Neurospora crassa OR74A: one gene and its partner. The protein of the gene in region 1 interacts with the protein of each later gene in a pairwise test. Links are inferred from orthologs where the notes say so. Each region holds a gene or a part of one and is shown in the gene's direction. Other genes may lie near its edges.

What was found.
Region 2: the proteins of NCU08385 (region 1) and NCU01670 interact in binary tests that used the Saccharomyces cerevisiae proteins (3 or more experiments, as listed by UniProt). The link is inferred for Neurospora crassa OR74A from reciprocal best matches to the Saccharomyces cerevisiae genes SDS22 and YPI1.

Annotation. Positions count from the first base shown.
Region 1 is NC_026501.1:5,512,167-5,523,836, forward strand, and holds NCU08385 (protein phosphatase PP1 regulatory subunit sds22), read left to right. Parts: upstream 1-4,407; 5' UTR 4,408-4,676; coding exon 4,677-4,935; intron 4,936-5,056; coding exon 5,057-5,938; intron 5,939-6,002; coding exon 6,003-6,019; 3' UTR 6,020-6,482; downstream 6,483-11,670. Other genes in the region: NCU08387 (hypothetical protein), read right to left, coding at 66-496, 557-735; NCU08386 (hypothetical protein), read right to left, coding at 2,195-2,796, 2,864-3,200, 3,262-3,300; xr (xylose reductase), read right to left, coding at 6,928-6,963, 7,080-7,870, 8,188-8,329; NCU08383 (hypothetical protein), read right to left, coding at 10,895-11,670. UniProt on the Saccharomyces cerevisiae protein: Regulator of the mitotic function of yeast type 1 protein phosphatase.
Region 2 is NC_026502.1:2,746,752-2,757,891, forward strand, and holds NCU01670 (type 1 phosphatase regulator ypi-1), read left to right. Parts: upstream 1-3,863; 5' UTR 3,864-4,535; coding exon 4,536-4,731; intron 4,732-4,847; coding exon 4,848-5,212; 3' UTR 5,213-5,598; downstream 5,599-11,140. Other genes in the region: NCU01672 (DUF726 domain-containing protein), read right to left, coding at 1-1,161, 1,236-2,010; prm-3 (S-adenosylmethionine-dependent methyltransferase superfamily domain-containing protein), read right to left, coding at 5,672-7,140, 7,194-7,488; NCU01668 (hypothetical protein), read right to left, coding at 8,347-9,200, 9,341-10,297, 10,440-11,140.

The DNA of each region.
Region 1 (11,670 bases):
AACACGATGGCACGAAGAGGAGGAAGACATTAGTTAGCTGATGAAATGAACTAGGCTGTACTTACGAAGACCTTGCTTTCTTAGAGCAATTCTCTTCAACTCTTCCAGTCCATATTTCTCGCCCGCGCAGTAAATCACCGTGTCTTTGAGCACTTCACCATCCACCGAATGATGATAAATGGTTGGAGCCTCCCGACCGCCGTTCCCGTTTCTGCCTGCTGCCGCTGACTCCTCCAGTTCCCACGTGTCCCGTCTCCTATCGTGAACAAGGCGGGGGTGGTAGTCGCCTTTGTAGAGGTATTCGAGAACTGAGGAGAAGATCTCTGGTTCCTCATTAGGAAGCAATATTCGCTTGGTTTCACCTTCGGAGAATTGAGTGTCGAGGACGTTCTTGAAGAAGGGCGAAGCGGATAGCACGTTTTCGTGGGCGGCGAAGATGCGGGACTCCTGGCCGATCAAGAGGGTGACGATGGGTGAGATGGGATTTAGGTTGCCACTAGAAGCAGATTGATCAGAAGTAGGTTTGAAGTGAGTTTCGTTCGGTTTGAAAACGTACTCTGCACGAGCCACTGTTCCGGGAACGGTTGCCACATTAAGGCGACGATGACGGAGATCATGGCGACGCTTGGAAATTCCGGCTTCTTTAGCGAAGGACAAGGATGAATTCGACCTGACTAGCTTCGGTGGTCTAGAACCACTCTTGCTGTGGGGGATATCGAGGCACCGAGATGACATTTGTGAGACGATTGTGATTGACCACTTTGTCTGCTTCCTAAGTTGCACTTCGAGGCAGAAGATGGCAGTCAAGCAATCGATTGCATCGATACAACAAGATATCGGGTGGTATGTGTCGGCGAGGAACACACGAATGGGGGCTTGGGTGATCGATGGCGATAGAGCATCGGCAACAACTTTCTTATCAGTCTGGTGGTGATATCTGGCGAATATCACCTGTCTAACTACCGAAAGTACCGAGTGCTTTGAAGCCCGAAAATCTGCGCACAAAATGGATGAAGAGCCTCGTCAATTCTCGATGGGCGATGCATTTTTATATGGACGCGCTGTGCATGAAATGGAGGCCTAGTCGTTTCCATTTGTGCACTAGGCTCCAGCCAGTCCTGAGGGGTATGTATGTTGGTGAACCTTGATGGGTAGTATAGTATAGAGTGGTAACCTTGGCTGGCACAACCTGCAGTATCTTTCACACCATCAAACGTGATTTGGCGCGTTAAGTGTTCGAGGTGGGAAACGGGATATTCGCACGAGGTCACCTGATGGCGCGCTAGTCCATTCCGAGGCCATTGACATGGGGGTCGACATCGGCCGGCCTCCCTTCTCTTGCCTGTTCATGGTGTAAGATGGCCCGGAATAGGATCGACGGATCATGGAGGAAATGCAAGGGCGAGGAGAGCCGGCCGGGGGTGGGGAATGAGTGGGATGGTGGCCTTCACTTCATAATACAAACGGCGATTAAGCGGAACGAACGTTGGAATGGATCGTTGATTGGCGTGGAGCGAGTTTTACGCCCGAGACAACATGTGGCCCGTAGCTTCCCTTCCAAGATTGTGGTGTTTCCTCCACTCCCGTCTTTCGGTGAGCCTGGGGTCCGGCCATATGACGATTCAGTAGCTCACAAGGCTGGCTGCTATTGCCATTTTGCCGCATCATTTGGCTTGGCATGAGCTGGTGCCTGGTGGTGAACCAAGATCATTACTAGTTACCACTTGAAACTCGCCGTCAGCGTCAGCTACGCATCGACTTGTTTAAGCACATGTTTCCACACGGGAAGCCCAATACGCATCTCTCTCGCTGGACAGTCCAAGTCGTCAAAAGATCTCGCCCATTCGAAAGCCCCGAGATGAGAGCCTCAATTCCTATTGCGATAACCCCGCCATGTCCTAGGGTACGCAATAGCTTTGTACCACGCCAGCATCAGAGTCTCTGCGCCTCCGTAATGTGATGCAAAGGACGACATTGGTCCCAAGTTGCTTCGCCTGCACGGCACCTCCCAGTGAAAACGGCCGGCGTCTGCGTTTGCCTTCTTCCCTCGCAGTGCTCACTCTCTCCCATCTGGCCCCGCCGTTACCACACTTGTCCATAGCCAGCTCCGCAGCTATGGACGAGCAATTGTGCGGTCCATGTCCGCCAGACCGGTGTTTGGATGTCTGCCGCTACGCGGTTGATGTCTGCAGTCTCAGCCGACATCTAATGTTTTCTGGGTCAGTCGCACAATGCCAAGGGCAGCTAGTCTCTTGCCTTCGACTCTCATGATGGCATCGCTGTGAAACGCCGCCGGAGACTTGACCCGTTCAACCGGCAAGCCTAGGTCCTGGCATTTTTCGAGCAGACGCTCGGCATGTTCTGGGGGAACTAACTCGTCTCTTTCGGCCTCAAGGATGTACATACTTGGCGGCGGACTTCCCTTTTCCCTCGCGGCCTGGGCAATGGTTTCCATGTTTGTCCAACTATCCAAATGATTGCGTAAGAACGGCCAAAGGTGTTTGTATGGAAGCCACTTTTGAGGGTAGAGCGTCTCCAACATGGTCCTGACCGACAAGAACGGGGTCTCGAGGAGCAAGCCTCGGACTGACAAATTCTGTGGAATCTTGCCTGTCGCAGCAAGGTTGGTGGCCACACCGCAACCGATGCTTTGTCCCCAGAGCAGAAGAATGGGTAGAGGAGCATCCCTGTCTGGTCCGTACAGTTGTTTATGGTATTCGGAAATCCAGCGTGCACCGGCTTCAGCATCTCGCCTGAGACCAGCTTCCGAGGGCCGGCCCCGGGATGTCCAATAACCTCTGTAACTTAGGCAAACAAAAGTCATCTGTAGAGGTGCCAGGTCCGGGTTGTGGCTGTTACTGACGTTTCGAAGCACCCATGACAGATCCGGCAATCGTGGCGGTATCGAAGCGGCGTTTCCTAGGTGCCCATATCAGCTGCGAGTCCCGGAACGACACGTTGATATGAGGAACCAAACCTTGAAAGTAGAGAACATATACATGGGCCCTCGCATCCTTCTTATCTGTAGGGAACTTTCCCTTTTGCATCGGGACGGTTGTAACGGCCATTGCCAGGTCTGTCCCGTCCGCCGCTTGAATCCTTTCATTCGTCCACTTAATTCCACCGCAGTGGTTAGCGTAGTTGTCGATGAGCTCCCATCGTGAGTTGGGAGGGAATCCAGGCATATATATGATCTTGTTCTGGAACACAACTAGCATCATGCACTTCCACACGTATAAAGCAACCAGAAGCCCCACGAACACGACTGGCGGCATCAGCACCGCCGGGATGTGAATGCATTTCGCAGTGCGGCCGCTGCCACTAACGACGGAAAATGTGCTCGGCTTGAATGTCAGGGGAACGATCAGAGACCTCGCGGCAGTGACCCCATATCGTGAACCTCTGATGTAGGTACTACCGTGACGACAGCTCGAAAGTGAAGAGATTGCACGAAGTTGTTCCAACCGGGCCCTTGAGGCGGACACGAGACAGCGAGAAACCATTGGGGGAAACTTATGAGACAATGGCACTTGTCTCACCCGAGCAAACTGCAGGATTTTCCGCAGCTCGTTTCCATTGCATAATCTCGTGTTCAGCTGCCACTTGTTGATTACTCTTCAGTCTCCTGCAAGGTGTTCTGCACATACACCTCCACAACTTCCTTTCGAATCGGAGATTGCTGGCCAGGTTGGGTGGCGCACTCGAGTCGACAGGAGTTCCAGTGGAACAAGTTCCAGACAATCCGAGGTTGGCGCTCTGTGATTCACCCAAAATGCCTCGATAATGTACTGTATGAACCGGTGAGGCAGCAAAGAATGTAATTTGTTCGAAAGAGCGGTTCCAGGCCTTCCGAGGCTTTTTGAAGCCTTCACTCTTCGAGATGATCGGGCTCAGTATTGGAGAATCTCTTTTGAAGATTGACCGATATGATCCATAGACATGAAATCGAAGCGGCAATGACAGTGAGCGCCGTCGATATCGAGGATGGTAAACGTCGGTTGAGGTCGGTCGGGTCTTGATCGATGGTGATGCGGGTGTTGGTAGACGGCCTCGGGATGCCCTGATGCCCTTTCCGTTAAGAGTCTAACAGGACCCCTGTACGACCAACCCTTTCCAGTCTGCCCCCCAACAAGGCAGGCCCTGGCGTTGCACGGTGCACCCACTGATGTGATCCCCGCATTTGTCCGCCTCAGGGGACCAACCAAGGGGACTAGCGCATGACGGGACATCCCAGCGGGTGGTTGGAATTGGTCCATGACCATGACGATATTCCAACTGAAGACTGGAGAACCAACCTAAGCGACCCCTCATTTTCTGTAGATGCGACTTCCATTCGTTTGATAATCAGGAAGTGATAAAAAAAAAAAGTCGGGAGATTCTCCTTCTCATCACATAAATGATAAGTCACTGTATTTGTCCAATAAATACTACCAACCACTGATTACCAGCGCGCCACCGCTTCCGACTGCGCCATTAACTGATCAACACTGCCTTGAGTATTGCGATAGTATCGATCCCTGTGCTCGTCGGTACTCTTTTTTCTTTTTCTTTTTCCTGTTTCTTTTTTTTTTTTTTACCTTTGGACGCTTTTCAGCACGACCACGACCATTCCGCGACTTTGCGCAACGCTCGAGAGCAGGCACCAACTACCTACCCGCCCAAATACTACCACAACCATGCCGGCTCCCATTGAAGAAGGCAGCAACACACCGGGTCGCCAGTCGCCCGGCCACCATATTGAGCTGGTCGACGACCATCCTTCACCACGACACGAGGGCGAAGCAGGAAGCCCCGCTCTCAGAGATAGCAAAGGCTGGGACGGGAAGCTGCGGGTACCAAAGAGTGCTGTGCTCACAAATCCCGAAGCCTTGTCGGATCCGGAATACTCGGACGATGACAACGTTGTTCCTGGCGAGGAGGTTGCAGCGGATGAAGGCAAGCAATTCGAGTGCGCTCAAACACGGACACTAGGCCTTTTACATGTCTAAACGATAGTGAAAATGACTCGGTGGTAACGAACCTCTGGCTAACCATGTCCGGCTCGTTTGGTTTACAGATCTCCTCGACAACGAGCCCCTCGATACCGATGAGATCATTTGCACCCACTCCCGCATTCAGTCCATCTCAGCATTGCGTCTTGAGCGCTTCAAACAAGTTGCCCGCATTTGCCTTCGCCAAAACCTGATCCAAGATATCGAAGGCCTCGCCGCTGTCGCCGAGACCCTCCAAGATCTTGATCTTTATGACAACCTGATTTCGCACATCGGCCGCGGGCTGACTGACCTCACGAATCTGACCAGTCTGGATCTAAGCTTCAACAAGATAAAGCACATCAAGCACATCAATCACCTGACCAACCTGACAGATCTCTTCTTTGTTTCCAACAAAATCAGCCGCATCGAAGGGTTAGAAGGACTCGACAAGCTGCGCAACCTCGAGCTTGGGTCGAATCGCATTCGCGAATTGCAGAACCTCGACTCGCTCAAGAACCTCGAAGAGCTATGGGTGGCCAAGAACAAGATCACCGAACTCACCGGCCTTGGCGGCCTTCCTAAGCTGCGTCTGCTCAGCATCCAGTCCAATCGGATTCGCGACCTGTCCCCCTTGCGCGAGGTACCCCAGCTTGAGGAACTGTACATTTCGCACAACGCGCTCGAATCGCTCGAAGGGTTGGAGAACAACACCAAGCTGCGGGTGTTGGACATTTCCAACAACAAGATCGCCAGCCTGAAGGGCATCGGTCCCCTCGAGGAGTTGGAGGAGTTGTGGGCGAGCTATAACATGGTCGGCGACTTCGCCGAGGTGGAGCGAGAACTGAAGGACAAGAAGAACCTGACGACGGTGTATTTTGAGGGGAACCCGTTACAGCTCAGAGCGCCGGCATTGTATAGGAACAAGGTCCGGTTGGCGCTGCCGCAGGTGCAGCAGATTGATGCTAGTAAGTTTCAACAGGCATTACTTATGGAAACTCCAGAAGATTTGCTAATTCCCAAATCACGCAGCTTTCGTCCGCGTATGATGTATATGAATGGCGATTTTGGCGGTTTGCAAAGCATAATGATTGTGTAGTCAAAGTTCATGCAGCATGGCACTGGCGTTCATGGTACTACGGCGTTAGATGGGTTGTTGAAGCAAGACAATCGACAACTTGATGTATTCCCAGTAGACTTCGTTACTACTCTCGTCTAGACCCGTTGCCCTTTGCTTTGCATTCTCACCCTCATAATTGCATCCATACTATTTTCATCCGACTTCACCGACAAAAGGACCAACGAACAACTTAGTCCAAACCACCGGGCCATCCAAGAAAGGACGGTCGCGTGCGCCTTTGTGTCGAGGTTGATACATGGAGTGGCTAGTGGCTAGTATTGACTGCTTTTGTACGATGATGATCAGATTCATATAGACGACTTCGACAATCACCACAAACAATACAGAGTCAGCTCATGTCACGAGCAGGGATCGACGAAAAAGAATTTCGAAACAGAAAGATTTGTCAAATCTTGATTTCTATCGCATTCTACCCCATCTATTTCATAGCTGACAGGTTATCAAGCAAACAGGAAATGGCCTAGAGCCGGGAGAGTTGATCTGCCAACAGCCCTTCCCCGGGCCTCAGCAGATAACGACAGTATGCCCCATTATATGTACACATCCCGTCGTTAGGGTACGGTGACCAGCCTTCTCTCTTCGCGGTGTCTCTGATGGTCGGGGTATGGTTATGTTGATGTTTCCATGAGCGTGTGGTGTGCATTGTGTGTGCGGGCCGTGAGAGGTCGTAGCGATCTAGGCGACCATACCAATCACGCGCCCGCGTATACAAAATGCGTTGTGGGTATAATACACATTCAAGGGGTAAAATCAAAAGGTTTTGGAATGGGGGGCGCGAAAGCCAACTTTTCCCCTAAGCTGCGGAAAAAGGTTGACCTAACCGAAAATCCAGAGGTTCTCAGCGGAGAAGTACTGTGAGTTTGCCATGTTAGTCTATACCTTTTATACCATGACATATATATATATATATTCTGACGCCAAGTTTGGGGTGCCGATGAGAGAATGGCAAAAGGAAGTATCAAACTTACGTTGGTGGGCTGGTTGAAGCGGATGCCGCGGTCGAAACCAGAGATGGTCTTGATGTCCTCCTCGGAGAGATCGAAATCAAGAGAGTTGAGGTTGGACTTCATGGTGGCCTCGCGGCTAGACTTGGGGATGATGGCCAGGCCGCGCTGGGTGGCCCAACGGAGGAGGACCTGGGCAGGATCCTTGTTGTACTTGTCACCAATAGCCTTGATGGTGGGGTCCTCGAGGAGAGGCTGGAGCTTCTGGGCGTGCTCCATGTTGAACTCGCGGAAAGAAGCAGGGCCGAAGGAGGAGTAGGCGGTCACGGCGATGCCCTCAGCCTTGGCAAGGTTGAGGAGGTTCTGCTGGACGAGGTAGGGGTGGTGCTCGATCTGGAGAGTGGCGGGGCGGACCTTGGCGTAGCGCAGGAGGTCGTACAGGAGCTGGGCCTGGAAGTTGGAGACGCCAATGCTCTTGGAGAGACCCTTCTCGACGAGCGACTCCATGGCCGTCCAGGTCTCTTGGATGGTGGCCTTTGAGGGGCGGATCTCGCTCTTGCCATCAAAGTGCCAGCCGGGAGGGTAGCGGACCGAGGGGTCGACGTACTCGAGGGCGACGGGGAAGTGGATCAGGTAGAGATCGAAGTACTCGAGACCCCAGTCGGCAAGCTGCTTGCGGACGATGGGCTCGACGCGGTCGCCGTCGTGGAAGGTGTTCCAGAGCTTGGAGACGATGAAGAGCTCCTCGCGCTTGACGATGCCCTCCTTGATGGCGCGGGCTACACCCTGGCCGCACTCAACCTCGTTGCCGTAGTCTGTAACCAACACATTTCGAGTCAGTCAACAAGAACCATGCCATCGTGCCTACTGTGTCTTTGATGGCGGTACTATGGCTTTGGGGTGAATTCGACGGATAATGTCTCATCCTCCTGCAAGCAGGGTGAGCTGAAGTGACGGGGGTCGATGTGGGGTAGTGGTGTAAATAAGTGTCCATGCCTGCGATGGTATCGCTGCTCCTCGTGTCCTTAAAATAAGAATGGACACCACGAGAGATTGCCATGCGAGGGGAGACGTTGTGTTGACAATAGGTATCATGTAATGTACAGTTGGAAGTAGGAAGTCTTAAACATACCGCAGGCACCATCGAAGAGGCGGTAGCCTGCCTTGATAGCGTTGTAGACGACATCGGAAGCGATGGAGCCGTCGACCTTCCAGAGGCCGAAGCCGACCTGGGGCATGTCGAAGCCGGAGTTGAGCTTGATAGCAGGAACCATTTTGTCTGTTGGTGGGATGTAGAGGAGTGTGTGAGACGGAAAGAGATCAAACAAGCCAGGCAAGAGGGTAGAGCGGCTATAATGGTATTTATAGCTGCTGCTGTCCGTCAAGTGGGTGGAGGCTAGAACTTCCCCGGCCACTCGTAAAGAAACGGCGTGTATGTACAATACCCGGGTGGCCTACTCCAACCTTTCCCGGCCCATCCACGGACGAATACTATGCCGGTTGGGGAGCAGAGCTATGACGGCGATGGACTTCGGCTCATGTTGTCCCCTCACTGCGTCCCTCCACCTCCTTCCACATTCATCCTCCCGCGCCTCCGTCTACTCCTCACAGACCCGCTATCAGGTCCCGGGCGTGGCAGACAGGAGCTTGGTTTTCCAGGGACCCTCATCTGGCCTGACAGGATGTCAAGGTAACGTGTTGGGGTGTGGTTCTTCAGATGCTGTGCGGAATCCCATTAGCTGACTGGTCGCCGGCGATACTCGAAATGCCCAGGGACGGTTGCCTTTCTGGAAACCGGCCATGATTGGCATGGGTAATGGCCCCAAGCCTTGTCAGCTGGCGCAGGGGCCAGGGTATTGGGTACTGGTCATCTTGAACGCCTATTTGCGCGGTTTAAAAGAAAGTTGGAGAAGGGGTGGGTTCGTCCGACTGCATTGCATCGACATCATGTTGTATGTATATGGCGCCAAAGCGGCCTGCCTAGGCGTTTGCTGGTACCTTGATGGTAGCTTTGACCTCGGAGTGGGCTGGTCACAACTAGCAAAGGACGTTTTCCCTCTTAGTCTCTCCAAGTTCTCGGTCTATCTGCCGAGTGACTAGGTAGAGAGGGTAGAACGCCTTTACTCAAGACCTGTCTCACTTGACCTTGAAAATCTTCAATACTGTCCATATCAAGAAATCGTGTTTGGAGCAATTGTTGGAGTCGCTGGAGCCCGCAAGCTGCGGGTGGTGGGGCTGGATATGACCCGGTAGCCCGTCTCCAAGTTCCCGTTTAACCTATTTAACCGGAGCCAACCAGAGGCCGTGGCTAATGTGCAAGCGCGAAACGTGATGGATAGAGGCTGGAGTGGGTTTGACAGATGTCTCCACCTCTGTTGTCCTTCAGCATGGGGTTGTGCGGGGCAGCGCTAAGATATTTGGCAAAAAGGCACAAACACCCCCATTGATGCATACAACGATGAAGGGTGGGTCACCGAGGAATCAACGTCAGTTCAACTTCCAACCCTCAACTTGATCGTGACAAGCGAAAATGGGTGACAATTCTTGCGGCTTAACTTTTCCTTCACGTCTCCAATGACCCCTTTTCTCTATTTCATATGTGATAACAGAGAAAGCCTGAAACTACAAGCAGATTCATATATCATGGAGTGTCCGTTGTCAACTTTGCTTGTTCACTGTCGGATCAACAAATGCTGGGGATGGGAAACGGATCAGATCAAGGCCGTAAGGCTTTGCGCTGGTTCACGTTCATTCTGAGAACCTCAATCTCGAACCTTCAACGTGACCTTCAGCAATCGTCGCCTGTCATTTTCTGTGGGAGAAGGAAAGCCAACGACATGCACGTCCACCGCAAAAGTACCTTCCGCTTGTTGTTCTTTCTTGTTTCCCTCACGACATTTCCCGTAACAAGTTGTTGCAATCATCGGTATGGATTAACCCAAGCAACTTCAATGACCAAGATATTCCTGTCCTGTATCAAAATACAGCCCGTCCGGAAGCATTACACAGTATGTGGACGCGCTGACGGGACATGCTCCGGATCAAGGTCTTCTCAGGCAGTTGTTGGCATTCCCGTCCAATGATAAAGTGATTCGTCTGACAATGGTGAATTATAACCAGAGGTTCCGTAGGGACCAGCCGGGACTTTCTTGAACAGCTTTATCCTTATATATTGTTTCTTGTCATTGATAATTAGTTCAACCTACTTAGGCACATGTGAGGTACATGACTGTTCAGGCATCCTTCGCGTTGGGTGCATAGACGCTGATGTACATGATCCGTCTCACATCAAACCATGAACCACTGCTACCCCAGACGGTGGCGCCACCAAGCAATCGACCCTGAAACGAGATGCAGCTAGCCTGTGGGTTCGTTAACTTTCTTGCGGGTCCTTCCGGTCTTTCAGCATTTCTCTTCCGCGTCAGTGGAGCTAGCCGGCGGGATCTAATCAGACAGGAAAGCTTCATGCTCGCTTCTTTACCTCTCAAAGGGTTTAGATCGGGACCAAGTTCCTGGCTACCGATGCAGCAAGTACCTCGGGCCAGTAACAACACGACGTCTTGCTTGTTGACCGGCTGTCAGCAGTCATCGATGCACCTGCCAAGCTGTCTCTTATGCCGTATAAGCATGAGAGTACCCGAGGTTGGTGCTCCTAAAAGGGGAGACGGCAATGTCTGGGCTCACCTAACCGCATCAGCTTTCAGCCCTACGGATCGCTGGAACTCCTATCAAGCCCCATTCTGGCATTATGCTGGATTCCAGAGCACTAGACTAGGTAACTCGCCAGTCTTTAAGCACGGTACCCAGTAGTGTACTGCTCGAATCCTACTTTCATGATTCTAGTCCAGACCCTGACTCTGACTCTGCCCTTGTAGTTTACCAGACTTAATACTAGTGATAGAGTCGAGCCCATAGTTCGCATACGAACACCTGCAGATATCTGCTTCATCCGCGATGTTCATACCTCTCTCCCCTACCGCCTTCATATTATCATTATTCCCAAACACCACAGGCTTCCCCTCAGCATCCCTGCAATCCGGCGCCTTCTTCCCCTTACCACTCTCATCCTCCTCATATGTCTGTTCAAACGTTAACTCAACCGCAAACGGCCACGGCGCAAACACGTTCGTTGCATTTATCAGTGGTGTCGACACATCGCTGATCTTAGCCGGGTAACTCGCCCTCATGCGCGTCCAGATCGTGCCGCGGACGGCCGTCTGATTATACCAGCATATTGCCGGCGCTGGTGTTGGTGTTTCTCGCGAAATCGTGTTGTCATTTGCCCTCTTTGCTGTTCTTAACCATCTACGTCCAGAAGGCGTCCCATTACCTTCTTCCCTTTCGTTAGAAGCAGCCTGCGAAGCCGAAGTCGAGGATAATGATACATCAACTGTTATCGATGTCATTGAGATCATCGAAGAGACTGTCGAAGACACACTGCTGCTGCTGCTGCTGCTGCCGCTCGTAGTGCTAAGGTCCGGCACCACCGCCTTCGTCATGGTAAAACCAAAAGTGAACCGCTCGCTCGGCTGGTTCGCGTCGATCATGGTCAGACTGACGTCTCGGAAGATGCCGGTCGGCGAGAAGGGGTCGTCAGAAGAGGAGATGACGTAGG
Region 2 (11,140 bases), on another chromosome or scaffold:
CGTTCTCGACAAGACCGAAAGCTCTGCGCTCCGCCAAGACCATCAAACAGACATAGATCGCACGGGCGCCGAGACTGTAACCGATCAGCGTCACTCCACGCTCTCCGTGGGCTTTGTTCATGATGGCGTCGGCGAGAAGAGTTCCGGCCTTGTCGGCGCGGACCATGCCGACGCTCCAGGGATTATCGATAATTTTGTTGATCTTGAGCAAGCCGAGTGGCCAAAGGGATTCCGTCATGCTGGTGAAAACTGGACCATGTTTGTTAGCGCGTCTCGAGAGGTTACACTTTGGGATATTGAAAGGAGGCTCACTGGTCCGAGCAATGATTTCCTTCTTTGCCATGGACCATGCCGAGCTCCTTACGACAGTCTCCAAAGCTGTACCCATCTTCGAGAGCGAGTCCACCTCCCATCGCACAGCGTATACCTCATTCGCCTGTCCTAAAGCCCTCCAGGGGTTAGTGACGTCCGACTCGTCGGTCAGCCATCCACTAATGGCCAGCACTACTCGGAGACGACGGGCATCTGGCTGGATTTTGCCAATCTCGCCATCTTGGCCAATAGAGCCGCGCATGGGGATGAAAGCGAAGTCCTGTATCTCCTTGGTACACTGCTCCATCAACTTGACCGAGGTTCTGGCGTTGTAGATACCGAGCAAAGCGCCGACAACAAAAGCACTCTCGCCTGTCGAACCTAATATGCCGGCGGAAGCAGTAGGTCCAAGCCCGAAACCTCCATTGACAGATCCGATTCCTGCAGCCACAAGGGGCGGAGCGAGATGGCCAGGTATCCCAAAGCTGCTAATTCCAGCCATACTTGCCAATCCGTGCCTCCATCTCCTGGATGGCTTCCCAGCACATTCCTCGATTCTTTTTTGGATCAGCTCCTCTGGATTGATATCCTTGGCCATCCACGCAATAGCCTTGGCAACGCGGACCTCGTCATCAACGAGGACGCGAAGAGGAAGGTTCAGCGAAGAGGTGATATGGAGCAGCAGCACCCGAGTATATGCACTGTAATGCTCGAGTGAGAGCAGGAGGAGTAGCAGAGCGTGAAGCACCAGCAATCTTCTCTCTAGAGGCCAGTAGCAAAGCGTCGACGGGATCGGTGGGTAGAGCTGCATCAGAACAGGGTCGGACTCAATGTTGGAGGTTGAAACTCCTGTCATGGAATTAGCAGCCGTCACACTATCTCTATATACGTGTCCCTGGTCACTAGGTGGAGTAAGTACTCACCGTTAGGCCTGTTCCTGCCTCGTCTGCTGTTTGGCACCGTGGAGTTGAAGTTGGCATCTCCAGCCCGCTTGACTGAGATGTCACCCATTCTCTTATGTACCGCTGTCTGCCATTTCTTGAAGTGCAGCATGGCTTCCTTCTTCAATTCCTGAAGGTAGGGCCCGATTGTCTTGTCATTGTCCTGTTCAGGGGCGCGTTGGATATTCAGGTTAGATGGGTTAGCTGGCTGCAGTGCAGCACCCGAGCTGTTTTTGGTGTCTCGAGCCATGTTTCCATTTTCCTTTTGGCTCCTTGAGGTCTTACCCTTAGTGCGCTTCTTGGGGTTCAGGAGCTGCGTCTCCGCAGGGAGAGGCTTGGTGATGCTGAAATCACGCAAGTGAGCGGGAAGTCCGCTCCAGAACTTGTTACGAACCGAGGGAGCGTCATCGACCAGACCGGCTGAGTCGTAAACATGGGAAAAGTGCTTCTGCATAACATCGGTGGTTCTGGTAATGAGTGAAGTTAAGTCGTTCTTTTCCTGGGGTGACAATAGAGTGCTGAAGTCAGCCTCCCGCTTCGGGGGATTATGTCTTGGTCTGCCGCCGGGAGGCATATCGGCGATGGTACTGTCGTCAGAAGCTGTGTGGGAGAGGGTCGGTGAAGTTGGCGATGCTGCTTCGGCAGCGTCCTTGGGAGAAGGCAAGCTGGGAGGAATTGGGTTACAAGTCTTGAGGCCCAGGGCCTTTGAAGAGCGCACCGTGACCGCTGGCGCGGGAGCGTTCTTGAGTGCCGCCATGATCAATTAGGAAGGCGACAAGGCGCAATGATTGATTGCTCTTTCTGTTGTTGATTCTGGCACCTCAGTCCCCGCCCTACCTTGGGGTGGATAGGTCACAGTAGAGGTGATTGCCCTGACCAATTGGTACAGCGCAGTAAACCGGAGTGTACTAGTTGCGGTGGTGTGGCGAAGAGACGGACCGTATGAGTGTATTGTCTCCGTCAGAAGGGAATGGAGACTGCAGTGCGCAACCAGAATTGCAACTGGAAGGTGTGGGCAATGGGTGATTGCCAGCTGAGGGTGGAGTGAGTCCAGTCGCCTTGTGGTCTGGCAGATCTTTGTGACAGGTGACTTCCCAGCCTGTTGAGTTCGCTCTCAGATTATGCTTCCCCGCTAGGAAAGATAGAGGGAAAGAGCGATGGTCATTCTGTCTCGAATTGTTTGCTGTCTTGGGGGGGGGGGGGGGGGGGCAGGCAGTTGTACTGCGGTACCACGATGATGTTCGCTTAGGCTAACCTTGACGTTACAGGAGCCAGCCAGACTGTCACGAGGCCACGAAAGAGTGTCGTTCCTGCGGGTTTTTAGGCTGGATGACCAGGCACGGGTATGTCGAATATTATGATCAGAGAATGCGGTCGCGCCAGGCGGTGTGGAGGGGAAACAGACAGAGGAAGGAAGAAAGGCCGAGAGGTCGGGCGTTGTTGTAGATAAAGTAAGATGGATTCTATGGGAAAGGGTCCTGGTCCCAAGCCGGGGGCGGGGATGCAAGGTGGGTGGGTGCAGAAGGGACCTGGGATATACAGAGATTCGTTGGTCGGGAAGGCCGCTGGGGATCGTAAAGGTCCATGGACGGAAAGAAAGAGCAGGAAAGGGCAGAGAAAGGCAGTCCACGCAGTGAAGGGCAGCTCAGTTAAGGGCAGGCAAAAGCAGGATCCCGGTGGAAGCTGGGAGTGTTCTACGCGTGGGCCGACTGCCGGAAGCTTTGCCAACAGCAAAAGGACGGCAATGAGGACCAGTGGTGTTTGGCAAGCATCGAAACTCCCGTTGTGTGACGCGGGAGAGGCGGGGTGTTTGGTGGTGGTCTAGTTCTGAGGCAGCACAACGTCCAAAGAGGTTCACAACCTAAGCTCAAGGATCACGGACATAAGATCATTCCATTGTGCTGCCATACCAGCTGCTGAACACGAACATCCAAGTGGCATTCAAGGTGAGAAGGGTTCGCAAGCTTGACTATAGGCTGCAGTGGGCTGGACCGGCACCGCTCTCTATTGTTGAGTTGCTATGGCACGCAAGCCTAGCCGCGTGAATGAGAAAACGCACCGCGGAGCTGAGGACTAACTGAGCAAGCCTTGATGGATATAAAAAGGACACTAAAGAATATGTGCTACCCTTTGGTACGGCCTCAGTCGTCAGTCAACATCCAAACCTCCCATCCTCAGCCTTTGACATGTAAGTGGAAGCGGACGCAATTGCCCGAAGACCAACGAAAAACTTCAAAGGCCCATCACGCACATGTAGTTAAAGCATATGCCATGGACATATGGACACCCAACAAACTATTTTGTTTGTTTGCAGCGGTCCCTTCCCGATCATACAATGAGGCTCAAATCAGGGGTGTTGTTGGAACTTTGGTTCAGGGTTGAAGCAACTTGAATGATCTGCCTTCAGGGTTGTGAGGGAGAACAGTGCGGACGCTTGCGCTCGACCTATCAGGGGACCCTTGTCAATTCGACTTCCTTCCCGCAGGCGATCTTCGCCCCACCTTTTGATTGGGTGCCCTGCATTGACTCTTGGGCTTTTATTTTGGCAGAGGAATGTGGAAGGTGGAATGACGAAGGGAAGCGGGGACGTGGGGGAAACGGGAAGAGTACTGCGTACATAGCGCCAAAACCGAAAACCTTCAGCGGCTGCGATTCTTCCGTCATCAAAGGTTGCTCTAACGGCCATCGACCCACACTACACCGAGGCGTGTTAAGTAACGTGTCCCACACTGAATGCACCACACCTACCTCTAGGTATACTACGTACTACACCCAACACACCTTCAAGTTCGTTCGTCTTCGGCCTACGGTATTCAAGTCTAGAAGGTACTGCAACCTGCCGACCAATACCCATTGCGCGACGGGTCAAGGGAGACAGACAGGCCGAGAGCTAGCTTTCAGATCGAGATAACAGAACAGCCTGGAACCCCGCGACAAGAGTCGCATGAAAATTCCAGTTCCTGCCAGGCACGCTCCTCGTCAGCAGCGGCGATCACACAAACTTCCCCAGACTCCGTCAGACCGCAATTTTTGTCGCATGACCGGACGGCCTTCAAACGACGATCACCTAACTCTTTTCTCGAACAGACCACACCACCCTTGAAACCGCGCCTTTGTAGAGAAGAAAAGAAAAAAAAAGAAGAAGAAGAAAAGAAGCGCTCCCAAAACCTCATCTTCTCCCGGACCCGACTACCTCTACGACTACCTACCGCATACATACAACCACCCGTTCAAACACATACGTCCCAAAAACACAACAGCAAACTTTGATACAATCACACAATGACCTCCGTCGCCCAACGGCAAGCGCAGCCTGCGCAACCGTCCACCAGCCAAACCGCTGCCCCAACCCGAACCCAAACCGAGACCTCTTCTCCGGCCATCTTGCGACTTCGCGGCGCACACTCGAACGGGCGATCTGTACAATGGCGTAGCGATGTCGTTGACAACGAAGGTCTCGGCAGGAAGAAGTCCAAAGGTTAGTTGATTTGGGTTCTCCATCTGCCCCCCCACTCTTCAATTACCTTGCGCGCATACATACACACTCTGACAAATACATATGCTAACACCACCGGCGTGCCATGAACAAAACAGTCTGCTGCATCTACCACCGACCAAAAGGCGTAGACGAGTCCAGTGACGATTCTTCTTCTTCCTCCGACTCTTCATCCTCCTCCGATTCCGACTCGGACCCAGAACCTGACCAAGATAAACGAATCACATCCGGCGGTGGTAGTAGTGGCAGGGGCCACCGGCATTCCCATGATCATGACCATGATGGCCGGGAGGGTGGTTGTAACCACGACCATGGACGTGGGAGGAAACACGGCAATAAAGGAAAGAAGACGGAAAGGAGGCCGAGCCCAAATGCGTATGAGAAAATGCCCAAGTATAAGCCGAAGGATGGAGGGGCTGGGCCTTCGAATTCAGAGACGCAAGGTCCTGGGGGAAGTAAATGATGCAGGGAACAACACGAACGTATGTTCGAAAGTCGAATTTCTTTTTGGGGGCAATTGTTAGATACCATGGGAAGAAAAAATATGAGCACGAAGGCTGGGTTTGTCTTGGTTTTGGCTTTCTGAAGCCATAATGAGCACGTGTATGGGCTGCTTCTCGTTAGATATCATTCTTCGCTAAGTGTCCTTGTTATTGGACTTCACGAGTCAAATAACGATCGATATACACATGTATCTCACTATAGCGGCCTCAGATATTCGAGACATCCAGCAACGCAGAATTGTGCTACTGCATTCTAACAGATTTGCCTATAGACACCATAAGTGACTCTATCTTATGTAACGGCTATACAGAGCTTCCCAATGTTTAAGATCGTACAAGAAATCTAACCCATCCATGTAAAGACAACCCTTCCAGACCTTTTTAGCTCACAGCGCCAGACGCCACTCAACGTTATCCCACTAGTGCAACAGCCAAGTCTGAGTCTGCTCCTTCTCACCCTCGGCAGCCCAAGTAACCCTCAAGTTCAATCCGCGCTCGTGATTCTCGGCGGTGATATACTCAATCTCGCCTGCAATCTTCTTGCCAGGAGCCGGCTTCGTCTCCTTGACCTTGTTCTTGTCCAACAGCATCAGGCCCTGTCGCCAATGGGTAGGCTCACCAAACGGTCCGGTAGTAAACGCCACCCGGGCGTCCTTATCGCCGCCCTTGCCGGCCGTCTCAGCCACCCACTCCTGCGCCTTGGTGTCCAGCTTGATGGACTCGTCGACGCGGTTGCGCGCAAAGAAAACGTCCCACCAGACGAGGAAGCCGTCGTGGCTCTCGGCCTTGTCGTCGAAGGCGCTCTGCCACTTAGCCGTGAACACGAGGTCCTCGACCTTGACGGTGTGGAAATCCAACAACCCGAACGAGGCCGGGGTGCCGCACACGGTCTCGGCGGGACGAACCTCCATCCGGCAATCCTCGTAGATGCCCTTCTGCATCACCTTCATGTCGAAGCCGTACACGTCGCGCCAGAAGTCAACGTACTCGGCAATGTACTCCTGTTCCGACACGGGCGCGATCCACATGTTGCCGTGGCTGGGGACGAGCAGACCTTGGGGAGCCAGGTACTTGTCGCGCGCCCACAAAACGCTGTTGAGCATGGCCTCGTACAGCAAGCAGTAGCCCATCCACTCGGACACAATGATGTCGACCTTCTCGACGGGGAGGATCACCTCCTCGATGCGGCCCTTGAGGGTAACAATCACGTCCGAAAGCCCGTTGGCGTAAATGTTCTCGCGCGCCTTGTCGATGATTTCCGAGCGGTCGACGGCGATAACCTGCTTCGCACCCGCCTTGGCGCAGAACATGGACAGGATACCCGTGCCGCAGCCAATGTCGAGGACGACCTTGCCGGCGAAGAGGTCCTTGTTCTGGTAGATGAAGTCGCGGTAGGCTTCGGTGCGGACCGTGTCCTTGAGCATGGTCTCGTGGATGTCGTTGTGCGCGTATGACTCGAAGTAGTAGTCGGAAGCACCCTCCTTGGCGGCAGGACCCTCGGGGGCCGGACCTGAAGGCGCAGCAGCAGCAGCAGCGGCGGCGGCCTTGCCCTTGGCAGCATCCTTGTCGTCGTCATCAGCCTGCCAGCGCTGATCGAGGGTCTGCTGGACGGCAAGGCGGTAATTGGAGAACTGCTTGGACAGCTGCTCGAGCTGAGCCTGGAGCTCGGCGTTCTTTTGGATCAACTCATCCACAGCAGGCGCATCCGCGCCCTTCTGGGTGCCGGCAGCAGAAGCCTCAGCGCCGGTACCGCTGGACTCAGGGAGATCATCCAGGCACAAAATCAAGGCGTCGTCATCAAGGACGGGCTTGAGATAGCGGTCATCCTCCAGATCGGCGGCAGTGATCTCAGCGGGAAGAGGGACGCCTTCGTGAACCTTGGAACGGACTAATATGTTGTCAGCAGGCTGCCTATTTAGCTTGTGGAGACTGGAGACCTACTGAAGTTGATAAGTTTGATCAAGCCGTAGAAATCCAAGTTGAGACGGTCGCGAATGGCAAGGAAATCAAGACCCTTATCCTTGCAGTAGTTCAGCATGGAGACAACGTCGGGGAAGACATGGTCGTCGAGCAAGGAGATGATAGCGGGGGCCTCCTCTTGCTCCTCGTCTTGGTCGAGCCACTCATCCTCGTCGCCAGAAGAAGAAGAGGCATCGGAGCCAGAGTCAGAGGCGGAGCTATAGTCGTTACGACGGGGTTCGGACTGAGCCGCCGAAGTTGAAGCTTGAGCGGCCATGATGTGGTGGTTTGCCTCGAGGTACTTGACTTTGCTATGTCAGGTACAAAAATGTGAACAACAACCAAGGTCACAACAAGAAACGTGGTTCTTGAAAGTGGGTTGTGAGAATGTTGGAGCCTGGTCGTCAAGGTGCGCAGGCTTTGAAAAAATCAGAAATTTCCACTTGTGTAAATTGGTAGTGTAAAGCAGTACCTCATTAGGTTGGCTGCAGTTGCAGCGTCGCCCAAAAATTGCGGGGAAACACATGCCGATAACGAACGCCTGTTAGAACATCGAGAACCAAAGACGTTCTCGTAATTAAAATGTACAAATATGCTAATAATTTCCGTTCGTTTATTGTTACCTTCTTCCTGATTGTTTCTGTACATGCCGAAATGGTGTAGTAATGATTCAAGGACCAAGCTTCTTGGGCCTTTGGCGGATTATGTCGTTCTCCAACAAACCACCCCAAGATCCAGCCCCTTTCCCAGCTTCAGATCCAGTTGCCTCGGCAACCAGCCTTTCCAGAAAGACAGAAAAGAAGGTATTGTCTGATCCAGTACGCCCTTTCTCTTGATCATGTAATCATGAGAAAATACAGTGTAAAATCTACAGTATCAACTAGCAGCCCGTCGCTCTATGTGCTCTTGTTGCTCCCTTGCCAATCGTGCCTGCAAATTATTCAACCCCCAACAACGCCAGTAACTCCTTCACATAACCCAGAAGACAAAATCAGGTATTCGATGAAAAACAAGGAATGGAGAAGAGGTCCCAACAAAGAGCACTCCAGCAATATTCCAACCTAACACTTCAAGAAATTCAAGCAAGCAAACCGTCCTGAATCCAACCCATAAGCAAATCTCTCGTATGTCTTTCTCAGAGGCGGACGCTCGCTCCTATTCCCCTTCCAACATACCACAGCGTCTCTGTCCAGGATCCAATCCTGACACTGACAGTAGCCTTCGCATCAAGCTTCAGCCTACCACCTAATGCTTCCTTCACCTTATCACGTCCAACCGAGTCCAGAGACCAGTCCACCGGCAACCTAGGCGTGGTGGACACCCCCGGAGGGCAACCAAACGGTGAATCATACTTGATTCGTCCGATTTCCTCCGTGTGATTGTACAGGGCTGTAGCATTGATGTGCTCGATATAAATCGTGTTTCGTGAGAAGGGCGAGGCTAACGTAAATGTGGCTTGAGAAGAGAATATGTGAAAGGTCGCGCCTCGAATAAAGTGAGGAGCCGTATCATTGGTGCTACCGTCCCCATCGTGTCGTCCACCTTCATCGTCGCCAGGCACGCTAAGTCTAGGCATTGGGAGCGTAAAGTTGAATTTTGACAGCGCTTTGCCCAGCTCTGGCTTTGATGGAATAGTACCCAGATGTGTTCTAAGCGTCACGGTTGTGTTATAACCGGATATGTACTGCGAAATCAAATCCCGGCCGATTTGCACGCCATCTTCTCCGGCCAAAGAAGGCCTCCATAGTGCCGTCACTTTCAGGTTTGTATTGTTTCCACGCTTGATTGTTAGTCTCTTTGCACGCGCCTCGCCGAGAACAGTTCCATTTTTCAAAATGTTGATGCTAATCCAAGGAATGTAGGCCGCGTATGGAGTAGGGTTGGTTACGTTAACTGACGCCTGTAGAGATATTGAGACTGGGCTAGTGTCAACAACTTCCAGTTCTCCCACTTGAGGCTGCATAGAGCCGAGAAGATCGTTTCCAAGGGCTAGTGAAGGAGCGAGATGTCAGTTTTCTGAGATGTCCATGAGGTATGCGTGAGCGACTGATGGATAGCATCGACAAGAGATGCATAATCGCCAACAGTAGCAAGGTGACTGACAAAGTATCATTGGAGAAGAGACGGACGTTTGAGCGGAATTCTGCCCTCCGCGGGGACACCCTTCACCACAAATTGTCCAAGAATTGTATGTACGCCAACGTCGACAAGAGCGCTGATGTCGAGAATGACATCGGTGTCACCAAAAAGGAGGGCCTGAATAACATCGGTCAACACGTCATCGTCGGTAACCTTGAGCGGTGTATCGTGAACGTGTGATGTGATCTCAATCAAGTTTTCTTCACCGGGACCGCCGTCGATTTGAATGGAGCTGGCCTTCTCGTCAATTTCCAGTTCGCCTAGCTTCCTGGAGTCATAAAACACATCCGCTTTGGCTTTGACACTGGAGACGTTCAATCCAATATTCAGTTCCGATGGGAGGGCTGCCAAAGCGACGATAGTGCCCGACACTTTGGGGTTCGAATTGGGGTCGTCGGGATCTGCCAACGGGTCTGGCAGGGAGAATGATACGTCCGTCAAAGAGAAGTTACGAATCAAGTCGTCAAAGGATTGTTGCGGAAGAGGTACAGGGACCGTAACACTGGAGATGATATCCCCGATCCAACCAGGGACCTCTCCACCTTGATCTTTCTGACCTCGTACGAGAACCGATACAGGCTCACCTGCAACGTAGGCTTCAAAGAGCTTGTCCAACGGCGACAAGGTTCCACCAGGGCAGGGACGGGTAAGAGGCTCTGGCAATTCTTCGACGATGGAATGGGCAGTGACTTTGACATCGGCTTCCGGCCTAAGAGCAATGACATCGGTTAGGGCGGTGGCGACAGAAATGGCCGGGCCATGCTTCTTGCATCCCGGAACCGAGACCTCGAACTTGAGCGCGGGTACGTCAAAAGCAACTGGATAAGGGTTGAAGGTGGTGACGGTAACGTCGGCTGCCATTCCCTGCCTATCATCGCCGGGTAAGGGCCTCTCTTCAAAATTAAGACCGGTAATGTTGTAGGAGGGGAGCGGGGGCAATTCCTTGCCTACAATAAACGCATCAGTATGGATTCAAGGTCATTGTGGTGGAAGGACACAACGTCGGGGCGTAGCACATGTTTGTTCTCATTTATAAGAATGACTTTTCGCCAAATAACAATGCTGCGAAGGGACGGTAGAGGGATTGACCTTCAAACTCCATTGTTTCCGAAACAGCGTGCGTTCCCAAGGGAATGTTGAATCTTGTCTTGACCGTGATCTCCGTTATTCCCCGTACACGAACTGTATCCATTTTCCCGCCCAAGAACTGATTCGCAATGGTCCGAATGGTATCGGCATCACCAGGAGCCAAATCGGCAACGATATCAAGCTCAGTATTGTGGCCATTCGCGATGGCAATCGTCAAGGGAGGGAGGCCAGCAGTTCCGAGCAACATGTTATCGTGATCAATCCAGTAAACCTTGACCCTCGTCTCCTCTGTTGCCAGCTCTTTAGCCAGCCACGTGGTGAACTGGCCGACTCGTCTAATATGGACATTCTTGACACGCTGAGCATCAAGACGGAAGTTTGCTTGGATTCGCGCACGGACGCCATCGGTAGTGATAGACTCGAGCGCCAAGTTTGTCGGCTCGATGACGATGGCCTCCTTGGCATATTTCTCAACCGCAGCTGGAACAAAAAAAGCGCCAATAGCGATGGAGGCTGCGAGCCCCATCAACAATAGCGCGGCGATAATGGAGGGCCATCGCGTCGACTTCGTGGTCGACCGCGCTGGTGCTACTCCATCTCCAGAATGAGAAGCCCCAGCCGAGACCAAAGAAGCTCTGTCTGGATCATCGCGTCCGTCATGGCGTGGTGTTGTGTTGGACGTCGAAAGCAGAGGCGTAGAT